2 linked regions of the Drosophila melanogaster genome follow. The protein of the gene in region 1 interacts with the protein of each later gene in a pairwise test. Each region holds a gene or a part of one and is shown on either strand. Other genes may lie near its edges. The genes, in order: eIF4E4 and mxt.

Region 1 (3,855 bases):
TTAATAGCGTTATCCTATTAATTATACTGGCCGTCCTGCTGAGCTTTCTTCTTCAGATCACCATCAATATTTGCCTCTTTGTAGTGCTCATTGCCACGTATAGCGAACTACACCATTGCACTCGACGAATCTCAAATGATATGGATAAGCTCAGACTTCATTCTGTCCATGAAAGTGGTCAATTTATGGTGTTGGTAAAACAACTTCAAGGAATCACTGAAAAATTAATTCGACTGCGTCAAAATGTCTTTCATATTACCGTCAGAATCATACGGCATTTCCGATTTCATTGGCTGTGTGCTATTATCTACGGATTATTACCATTCTTTAGTTTAACAGCTAAAGATCAAAATGGTTTTAACTTCCTCATCATTTCCGCATTGAACATAATATTCCAGTGGACTATTTTTGCGATTCTTTCTCGTGAATCAAGAATCACCCGGAGTTTATGCACTTTTCACTTGACCAATTACCATAAGGAAACTGCTAGAACGGTGAGTAAAACTATATAATATAAACTAGTAGGTTTTTTTTTTGAGTTTTCTTTTGAAGTACAGATTGATGAATTACTACATCAGGAAATTTGGGAACGTATCACAGTCACCATATACGGCAATACACTCGACACGAAATTGCTGTTCAAACTGCTATCCATTAGTGCCTTTTGCGCGTTTGTTAACCGACTGGAGTACTTGCACATCTAGTGTCCTCAATAGATCCTGCCATTTAACTGTCAAATTAAAGTCGGAGCAGTCCTTGCTCAATTTCGATATCGTCGTTTTGTCTATTATTAGCATTCTGGGCTGTCATGTTATCGCAACTGTTGTGCACCAATGTCAATTGCACAAGTCAAAAACTGCCTCATAGATGACTTTCGAGATACTTTGCCGGCAATTACGTAGCTGTTTCATTGTTCCACCATTTCGAACAAGCTTCATAATATTTTCACTTTTATGGCAGGCAACATAAAAGACGACAGCTTTGGCAATAGCAACAACATCATCATTATCAACACCATCAAAGCCCGGAAAATTTCACCTTCTGTGACTCCACCCCCCCTCCCAACGCCGTGCCTTTCGTCTCCTTTTGTCCCCCTCAATTGTCGTAAAATCATAGGAAAAAAGAAAGGAGCCAACGGAGGCGAAAAGTGTGAGTGCGTAAATTTCTCTCTGGACTCGGAGTCGCTCAAGTGTCCTTCCATTCTGTGTCATAAAATTAACGCTTTATATGAACGAAAGCATAAGGCGCTCGATTTTTATCACCAAGGCCAACAAGATGGCCATAAACGAATCAGGAACATGGAAACGCAGAGGAAAAAAATAGGCAGCTAAGTATCTACAAATGAAAGTGTAATTACAAAAGATTTATACTGATTTTTAAATAAACTTATAGCTAAATCTATATATAAATAAAAATGTATATTTTCCCAATTACAACCCACTTCGTACTGTTATTTTCTGGCAGTGCATAAGCCCATAGCGAACCTTATGAGAACATAAAGAGTTAAGAGTTGAATTAGAAGCAGAAGAAACTGGGACCGAAGTACGTTGGGTAGTAAGAGAGGTGGTCCAAAGAGTGCCTAATTATTTACGTGCAATGAAAGTTATGAATTGGGGAACAGGTCAAGTCGGCGAGGGTAAAAATACCCCCGAACCTCCCTATGCCTTTACTGTCTGTGTGAATGGCTTCAGTCTGGTTTCGTAGCCAGCCCCTTATACACATTCTCGTGTTGTGGCTGTGAAATCGTTTTTCCCAGGTGATCTGAAATTTTATTAGCATCCATTGTTATAAATTTGAATCAGTATAAAAGATCATTCGCCAAATACACTCAACCATGCTGACGACCCAGCAGACCGAATTCAAGATGATGGACAACGGCACCGAGACGCTGGCCGATTCTCCTTCGAGTTCCAGCGAGGATCTGAAAACGCTTTCGGATATGGATATTCGCAAGCCCGTAACGGAGATTGTTGATTTGCGCCTTAAGCATCCGCTAGAGAACACTTGGACACTGTGGTACTTGGAGAATGATCGCAGCAAGAACTGGGAGGACATGCAGAACGAGATTACTAGCTTTGACATGGTCGAGGACTTCTGGAGTCTCTACAATCACATTAAGCAGCCATCTGAGATTAGAGTGGGCAGCGATTATTCTTTGTTCAAGAAGGGCATTCAGTAAGATTGGCTAGATTTATATACATGATTACCGATTTCCTATTCATTGCAGGCCAATGTGGGAGGATGATGCGAACAAGTTCGGCGGCCGTTGGGTCATCAATATGGGGCGTGGCTCCAAAGCGGAGCTCGACAAGCTTTGGTTAGATGTGGTAAGTAGCTATTGGAGCTTTGTGTCCATCGCCTGTCATATCAGTTGCAACTGCACAACCTCTTTTCTGCCCACTGACAGCTACTCATACTGATTGGCGAGGCCTTTGAAAACACCGAGGAAGTCTGCGGCGCCGTTATCAACTTGCGCGGGAAGAGCAACAAAATTTGTGAGTATTACTGAAAAAAAAAAGATGTGCATGTGCATTAAAAAAGCTGGTTACAAATATTATATTTTACTAAAAACATTACACATGTTTTGTTTACTTCGCCAACCTATAAATATTAAGTGGTATACACCTAGGTTGGCTCTGTTTTTTTTTTTTAAACATAGTTTACACATTGTAGTTTTGTAGTGTACTCAGCTTAAGTAGCCAGTGGACACCACCATGACAACTACTAACCCAGCGCCTTTACTCCGCAAGCGATTTGGACCGCCAACGGGCACAACGAGCTGGCCGTCATGGAGATTGGACTCAAGTTACGCGACCTGCTCGTCCTGCCGCCCCACCAACTGCAGTACCAGCTGCACAAGGACACTATGTGCAAGCAGGGATCGGTGATCAAAGCGGTTTATTGCGTGTAAGCCGTCTCCGTTTTGGATGCCACCCACCACTCCATCCACCAACCACCCACATTTCCATGGCCGCTTATGCCTCTGAATGCTGTTTCCAGCGCGTGTATCCGAAAAATATAAAAAAAAAAATGTATCTTGAAACAGAACTGGTTTTATGAATTTGACCATGTTAAAAATTGCAAAGAAAGATGTAAATACATAGTGTTGTGAATGCATATACGACGAGCCATCATTAAATTCCCCAGTTTTTAAGTCCCAAGGAGCTCTTTTTATGCCGCTAGTTGGACCCTTTATGCTCCACAAAATGTTATGCAAACATATGCCGCACCAGAGCGCAAATAAAATGGTTTATATACACTTGCAGTTTGTACTTTTGGCCGGGCCAGCTAGAAGTGCACAGTGACTGCAAAAGATAAACGTCCACTTGGTTCGCTTGGCTGGCCGAGCGAAAAACAAAAGACCGAAAAGGGTCAACAATGGCCACGGCGGATTGTCCGTTTTAGCGAGTGCCACAGTACCCGGCGCTGAATCTCTGGGATCTCTGGTATCTGGAACTGGCGTCGAGGGCTTCCAAAATGGAGACAATTGAATTTTGATGAAAGGCCGAACGAAACGCCGTTGCCTCGCGCAGTATTAAAATTCATGCTATGAGCTTCGAGTTCGAGTTTGAAAAGAGACTCTTAATTTGCGTGTAAAAAATGTTATTTTAATAATTTAAAAAAAAACCTATTAAGTACGTTTTTAAAGTATCTTTGGTATTCTAGTATCTATAACCATTATCGAATGACAAAGCTGTAGGTTCCCTCACATGCGGCTGGTAACGTTTATTCAACCCTTTGTTCAGCCCCTGTGACGTAACGTTTTAGCCAACTCGGGTCACCAGGCCATTCAATCAACATTGAAATTCCGATGGCAGCGGCACGTGCAGTAGCAACTTCATTATGAGCCACTTT
Region 2 (7,443 bases), on another chromosome or scaffold:
GGAGAAACAAAGTTTGCGTAAGGATGAGAAACAAATTTCCAACTAAAAACGTGTCATTCTCTATTGAGTTACTAAAAATGCATTCCATTTCATTTGGGCCATATTATCAAGTTAGGGCCGCTTCGAGGCTTTTCATTTAGCTGCATTTTTTGAATTAGTATATATTGGGAATATTCCGGATTCCCATTTCGATTGAACTTAACTAAGAGCTTCGTTGAATTTTCTAGTTATTTTGAAATTTTTGATTATTTCGTTGGTAATTTCTAGGGTTAGTTTGCATATTTTTCAATATTCTTTTTTTTTTGTTTGTTTTGTTTTGGTCGTTTTGAGTTTGCGATTGTTAGATGTGGCCATGGCCAAAAGCATTGAAGCATACTGCAGCTCCGTCTGGGAGCAGGCACTTCACCCCGGGACACTCTATATTGTCAGTTCGAGCCGCTCGATTGATGGCTTTATTCGTCCAGAGTCTCGACCTCATCGGCAGCCACAATGTCTCGCTTGGCGGCCGTCTTAATGCTGGCCAGATACTTATCACCATCGAAGCGCTGGCTCTCATCCTGCAGATCCTGTTGTCGAACAAAGAAATGGTTTAATATCTGATTTCAAAGTAACATTGACACGCAAGCTATCCAGGGATGAACGAACATATATACATACGGAACAGTTTAGTAACTAAGTTAGCCATCTGGAGTGGTGGTTAGGTGGTGATGTTATGATGCTTCGGTGGTAAAACACAAGTTACAATTTATAATTTACAATGTGTGGGGTGTGTGGTGGTGTAAGTTAAACCCAGCCAAGCTTTGTTACGGACTTTGAAAGTCCTGTTTATTAGTTAATATAAATCGTATTGATTACAGATTTGTAAATGTTGGTTTGAATTCGAGAATGTTTGTTTGTTAGCGGTTAAGCGGTTTCAACCGCCTTTCCAGCTTATCCTTAGCGACGACTTAATCTGTTTCACAGCCAAAACACAGATTCTCCCTATAGTTACATTTTAATTTCAATGCATTATATGTATTGTTACCTCTAAGACTAGCGATCGGTTTGGTTTCGATGGTATGTCGTTAATCTAATGACTGGATGATGATAATGATAATGATGTATTGACTTGATTCATTATCAAGTTCTTCACGCTTCACCTTTTCTTAATGATAAGTTATATAAAATTAAAACAGCAAAAATACTGACATGAAAAGAAAAGCCTATCTGTGACTGAGATTCAATAATACGTATTCCGGCTACGTAAAATTAAATTAAATTAAATGAAATTAAATGAAATTACACATAAACGCGGTTATTATTCGATTCTGTTTCGCACAGTGCCAATGAAAACTCATCGTCCTCGCAGTAGCGTTGAAAAATTGCCTTCACTTGTGATGTTTGATAGCTAGACTGGCGATGCTTTCCTTGTGTTGCCACCGATTGACCCACAGTATTAGTTATGATTTGCAATTGCTTGTTATACAGGTTTCGATCGGACACGGCCGATGTTTTGGGAAGGCGACGGTTCTCGCGTTCGGCGAAGATCCCTTTTGATTGCTTGTTAGTGACGGTTAGGGGATTGTTGTCTGCCGACGCATCGACAGCAGCTAGTCCAACGGCGGTGCTGATGATATTTGTGTTCGGGGAGGAGGTTATTGCATTTAAAGCCCACGGATGTGTTATTACTGATGAGTTAGGTGCACTGGCGATGATAGCATCGGGGATGTTCGAAGAGTAAGCCGTACGGCCAAGTGAGCCATCGAACGGCGAAATTACCTTGTTGCGCAGAATCGAGGGCGCTGTCTCCTGCATCTTTTGCCAGTCGGTGGGCAGGGTCCACGAGTGCGGACTCATGGAGTAGTAGAGCAAGTGTTCAATATCGTAAGAAACGCGAGCTGTAATTTAAGTTTAAGCATCAAAGACTTGGTTAAGCATAAAAGGATTGTAATCTTACATGCATTGCTTTTCAAGGAATTGGTGCCTGCCAAATCGTCCAAGTCACCCTTTTCCCGAGCGCCCTTGGTCTCCGGCGTGGACTCCTTGCGCGAAAAGTGGCTGCGACGCGATCTGGCCAGTCCATTCTGATTGCTAGTCGATGATCCTCCATTGCTGGGCTCAGCGAACACCTCGTCGTCGCCTTCACCATTGTTGTTCGCTGACGAGGAAACAACGCAATTCAGTCCAATGCCACTGTCCGTGCCGGGCAGCCAAAATTGCGGCGGCCCGGCTCCGGGAAGCGGAGTCGATGGCGTGGTCACCAGCGAAGTGCCGTCGAAGGCGGCGCCAGCCTCAATGGATGCCAGAAACTCCGAGCTGCTAAAATAGTCATCGAGCACGAGTTTGGCCACCTTGAAATCGCAGGGGATTTAACAAATTTCACAATTGAAAACTTCAACATTACTCACGCGCACTAGTTCGCAGCAGTCGCCGGTGATCTTGATCAGGTGCTGGCCCACGTTGACCGTGAACTTGTATTCACCTACGGAAGCATCGTTTGTGGAATATGAGTGCATTAGCAGCTGTTGATTGGGACGCAAGACTTTACCGGCAGCGGCTGTCGCCTGAGCATGTGCCGCCGCTGCTGCTGCGGCGGCTACTGCGGCGACCTGCTGCTGCTGTTGGTGCTGCAGGTGATGCGTTTGGTGGTGCATCTGCTGCGAGATCTGCTGTGCAGCAGCTGTGGCGGTCATGAAGTTTTGGGCCGAGTTAAAGCTTAGCCGGTTGGCCAAACTGCTTCCGGTTGGCGTTCTTGGTTGCACAATGGCGTCGTCCGAGTTGGACGAGTTAAGCGAGGAGCAGGATCCTCCAACGGCAGGAGCGGGTTCCAGGCGCACCGGCGAGGCGTTCCGACGAATGGTGTCCTCCATAAGTTGTTTGGCATAGCTGTCGTAGAATTAAAACATTTTGACATAAAGGTAAATTAGCTTTAATTTATTTACTTTACTCACTTAATTTTATCCTCAGCTGGACCAGTAATCTGCACCAAACGCTCCTTGGCACCCGGGTTGACTAATGAAAACAAGGCATTCATAATTGTTCTCGAAAAAAGCATTTATATTTATGAAAAATAATTGGGATGCGAAAACATTTAAAAACAAAATGCATATATACAGTATGAAAATATGTGATTTCAAAATGCCTTTAACGATCAATTTTGGCTTAATGTGGTGTCGTTGAATGGACAAAATCTGGAACATGCGTATTTATAATTTCTATTAGTAAATTTTGTAGAAGCCACCGGGCATTAATTGATTTAAATAAGCGTGCCAAATGAAATGGGGGTGCGGTGAGGATCACAATTAAAACCAGCTCTCTGGAGTTACCTCTTTGAAACGATATAATGGTTTCGCTTAGCTCCTCGATCATGTGCACGCGACGCCCCTTGATGCCCATTACTTTTTGGCCACGGGAATGGAGGAATACATTATTGAAAACCATTTCTGTAGATCTGTGTGCTCCAGAACACTCCTCAGCTGATTGAAAAACTTACCTTTGCCGGAGTCAGCATTGCGAATCACGACCTCGTCCTTGCAGTACGTCTTGCCAGGAATCTTGGTCGGTTTGGGGAACTTGCCCGAATTACGAATGACCTCACCGGGCGGCAGCAGCATGTGCTGCTGGTTGGATGTGCCCACGGCCGCAATGGCCGCAGCTTGGGCGGCTGCAGCTGCAGATGCTGCATTGAAGACGGCGGCAGCGGCGGCTGCGGCTCCATCGTTAACGCCACCAACACCGCCGCTGACGCCGAATGTGGGGGAGGTGCTGAAGGCGCCAGGCTGCACGCCGGCATCGTACTGGTATTCCGAAGGCAGCTGCAAAGCAACGATACATATTTGATCGTTTTCCAAAGTGAGATCGATTCTATGTACTCTACTCACCTCCACGTTGGAGATCTGCTGCTTGGACTTGTAGTACGCGATTGTGTCGTCATTGTCCCAGCTCTTGGCGCGCAGCTCGATGAGTTCGAGCAGCTTGAGGCGCGTCGTTATATTCAGCCGTTCGTCCTGCGAAGCGTTGCGGAAAACGACGAAGGCCCGGTCCAGTGTATCCTTGGACACCGCCTCCAGTTGCGGTCCATGCACCCGGAGGTTGTGCAGGAGCAGCGTGATCGATTCCGGCGTGGTGTTGCACGACTGAAGACCGACGGTCACGTTGTCTATCAACTGGATTAGCTCCTCGATCACCAGGTAGCTGTTCTTCAACGACGATCGCGATTGTGTCTTCAACGGGCGTGGCGCCTCAATGTTTTTCACGGCGCGTCCCAGGTGTGTGTGAGCCATTCTCGGGATTCGTTGGATTCGATATCGTCTCGTGAAGAAGTCTTAAGGTTGTCCCGCCTGGTGTCCGGATCTGCTGATTTCAGTCTATATGGTCTGCTAACTTATTCGTTCGTTTAAATGTTGTTGAAGAATTGATCAAAAATGAATCGTAGAAGCTGTTTCCGCACCTCCCCCTGTAAACACAAGAAAGGTTAGTTATCGATCAAATGTATTGTTTACATTAAAACTATTGTACTATTTGGATACATGCTTTCAGCTGCTAGGATGATCAAAGCCGACTATATTGCATTAGAACTTGGGAGTAATGGCCGAGAGCATGGACAACCAAAAGGTTTCTTAGGATATGGAGATTGGCCTCGTTTCCGACCGAATCTCGAATATTGCGACGCAAAGCTCTCGTATATCTTAACGATGTGCACGTTTGATAAGCGGCTTTAGCTGATAACACCGCGATTTATCTATAGTTTAGTGGCCAAATTAACCCATTGGCGCCTTCTGAGCTTCTGGCTTCTGCTCAGTTAATCGGTGCGAAGTTCCAAAAGCAAAATATGTAAATAATTGATGAAAATTGTTGGCATATATCGAATGGGAACGACAAACGGACGACCATTTGTGTTATTTCAGTTCGACTTTCGCTCCATGCGAACAACTCATTTCTTTTTTAAATATCACTTACTGCCGCTGCAGCAACAGCAGCAGCAGCAACAACAACAAGAACAAACAAACATGGGCAACTAAAACACAGCTAACAGAAATATTACAAAAAACTGAAATTGTCCGTGGGAGGGAGAAAGAGAGAGGCGATCGCTCTATTGAATCATATGTCGAGAATAGCAACAACAAGAATGGCCTCTGCCGACGTCGACGATGGCAGCGCAGTTGACGACCGTGTTGGGCGTAGAACAAAAAGGAAGTTAACTTTCAGGAAACAGGGTCTATATATCCATATATTGCATCCGTTTTCGGCCAAAATTCTCTGTGAAATTGAGTAATATTTTAATGGCACTGGCCGCTTTTCGTTAAAATAAGCAAACTACGCGTTTTGCTGGCGACCGACTTTGCACTCTCGTTCTAGTTTCAACACTTTTGATGTTTAGTCTTCGTCGCGCTTATTATTTACTTTAATGGCCGATTGAAACGTCTCTTAAAACGGTGTATTTTGGATCGTAATTTCCAATAAATTACTAGAGCTTACCAAAACCAAAATCTCTGCGACTGCGACTAAAATCGTTTTTTACGGTGGGTGTTGCCACCTGATCGAACACGTTAGATTTTAGAGATGCGCCACAGCTATCCAGACCAGTTCACGTAAAGCGCAGTCAAAAAGCTCACATCAATTTCGCATCACAGATGTGTTCGTATTAAAATTTAAATTTAAATATGAAATAAATGTTACGAAATCAGACACTTATCGCTGATAACCAACAATTCACTATGGTATCTGGACGCTGGGCAATTACTATTCCCCGCCGGTTGTGTCTGCATGGGATCGAAAATGTTAAATATATATTATATTACGTTGGGCATTAATATATCGCTTACTAGTTAACAAATGAAGATTTACTGGTATAGCGGAAAGTTTAGAGAATACATTTGGAAACTACTGTTCTTTTTTAAGAACAACAGGACTCTTAAGAAAATACTTCAGGGGAAACTCCCTAAAATTTTAAGCACGAAAATATCGATAGAAAACATCGGCTGTTCCTTCAATTTGTTGTTATTGAAATTTTTGTTTGCCATCGCTAAGCAAAACTCAAATAAAATTAAGTTGATATATTTATAAAGTGTATTCCCACTCTCTAAGGTGCGAGATGTCTGAAAACGGGGACGTGGAGGCGGCACCAGAGGATTCCAAGGAAGTCGTTCCGGAGTCCGGCAAAGATGAGCCTGAAACTAAGCCGCTGAAAATGTCGTTTGCAGATTGGAAGAAATGCAAGGATGCACTGAAACCGGATACCAAAAGCGGACTACAACGGAGCAACAATAACAATAGTAACAACAACAACAATAACAACAACGGCAACGGACGTAAACATTGGTCTTCGAATAGCAACAATGCCTTTCATGGAGGCGGAGGTCCGCAAAGCTACCAGGACAGGAACTATCCTCCGATGAATCGACCGCCTCCACTTCCTATGCAGCTGATGAACATGGGCTTTGGAGGCAATTTTGGGCCTGGACCCGGACAATGCGGTCCCCCCATGGGGCCAATGGGACCAGGAGGACCTCGCGGTCCCATAAGCAATATGGGTCCCTGTGGTCCCATGAGCAGTATGGGCCCCGGTGGTCCAGTGGGCTTTGGAGGACCACGTGGTTCTGGGCCCCGCCGGAATCACAATCACCGACCTCTGCAGCCGCCTCCGTTCTGGGAGGACATGATGTCGCCACAACATAGACCACCACCAATCCAACCGCCCATGCCCAAGTGCCCCAGCTTGTGGAATCTGGTACCCAAGGAGCAGGGAGCACAAAACAATCGCAGCAATCCAAACCAGAATAACAAGAAATTCAAGGTAAACCATCGCGGCAACAGTGACAAAGATACGAGGCTTATGCCTCCGCCCCCACCGCCAAGCAATGGCAACAATTCGCCGTCAAACGGGGAAGCGCAGCCCTCCAAGAAGCCCAAGCGCTGCGGCACATTTGTCCAGGTCAATGGCCAATGGATACAGAAGCCAGAGGCACCACCGCCGCTCGAGGATGCACCGCCTGGTACGAAGGAGGAGCGCCAGCGCCAGTGGAAGGAGTACCGTATGGCCATGAAGCCCTTTAAAAACCGTGAGTTCCACAACTGGAAGCGAACGGTGCAGCGTTTGGGGAAGCTGCCGCGCGACCAGCTGGACGAGCAGCAACTGGAACGACTACAGAAGGCCGAGGAGTATATAGTTGCGCACAAGGCGATGCTGACGGTGAAGCATGCAGAGCGCTGGGTGGAGCAGGACAAGAATGAAAAGGGCCAAGTGTTCGTGCGCAAGTCATCCAGCATCGGCTCGTGGGACATGTCCAAGGAGAGGCCGCCGAATGGTTTTGCGTCGATGCATGATTTCAAGAAGCAGCAAATGGATACGTTCTTCGGTCCCGGCCGTGCCATCAAAGGCGGTACGGATCTCTCCATCATTGGTACCTCAGCGCCGCCTCCGCCGCCACCTGACACCCCACCACAGATTACCAACTACTGGCC

Evidence for each region.
Region 2: the proteins of eIF4E4 (region 1) and mxt interact in a two-hybrid assay, tested with the Drosophila melanogaster proteins (2 studies listed by BioGRID).

What each region holds. Positions count from the first base shown.
Region 1 is NT_037436.4:6,663,487-6,667,341, reverse strand, and holds eIF4E4 (eukaryotic translation initiation factor 4E4), read left to right. Parts: upstream 1-1,700; 5' UTR 1,701-1,834; coding exon 1,835-2,175; intron 2,176-2,227; coding exon 2,228-2,327; intron 2,328-2,407; coding exon 2,408-2,495; intron 2,496-2,750; coding exon 2,751-2,911; 3' UTR 2,912-3,118; downstream 3,119-3,855. Other genes in the region: Grl65a (gustatory receptor-like 65a), read left to right, coding at 1-494, 558-704.
Region 2 is NT_033779.5:4,841,782-4,849,224, forward strand, and holds mxt (mextli), read right to left. Parts: upstream 5,515-7,443; 5' UTR 5,458-5,514; exon of another isoform or gene 5,383-5,457; intron 4,984-5,382; exon of another isoform or gene 4,935-4,983; intron 4,570-4,934; exon of another isoform or gene 4,498-4,569; intron 4,436-4,497; 5' UTR 4,263-4,435; coding exon 3,861-4,262; intron 3,795-3,860; coding exon 3,473-3,794; intron 3,378-3,472; coding exon 3,306-3,377; intron 2,992-3,305; coding exon 2,931-2,991; intron 2,866-2,930; coding exon 2,388-2,865; intron 2,331-2,387; coding exon 1,937-2,330; intron 1,878-1,936; coding exon 1,279-1,877; 3' UTR 803-1,278; downstream 1-802. Other genes in the region: CG11927 (uncharacterized protein), read left to right, coding at 6,074-7,443. UniProt on the Drosophila melanogaster protein: Plays a role in promoting translation.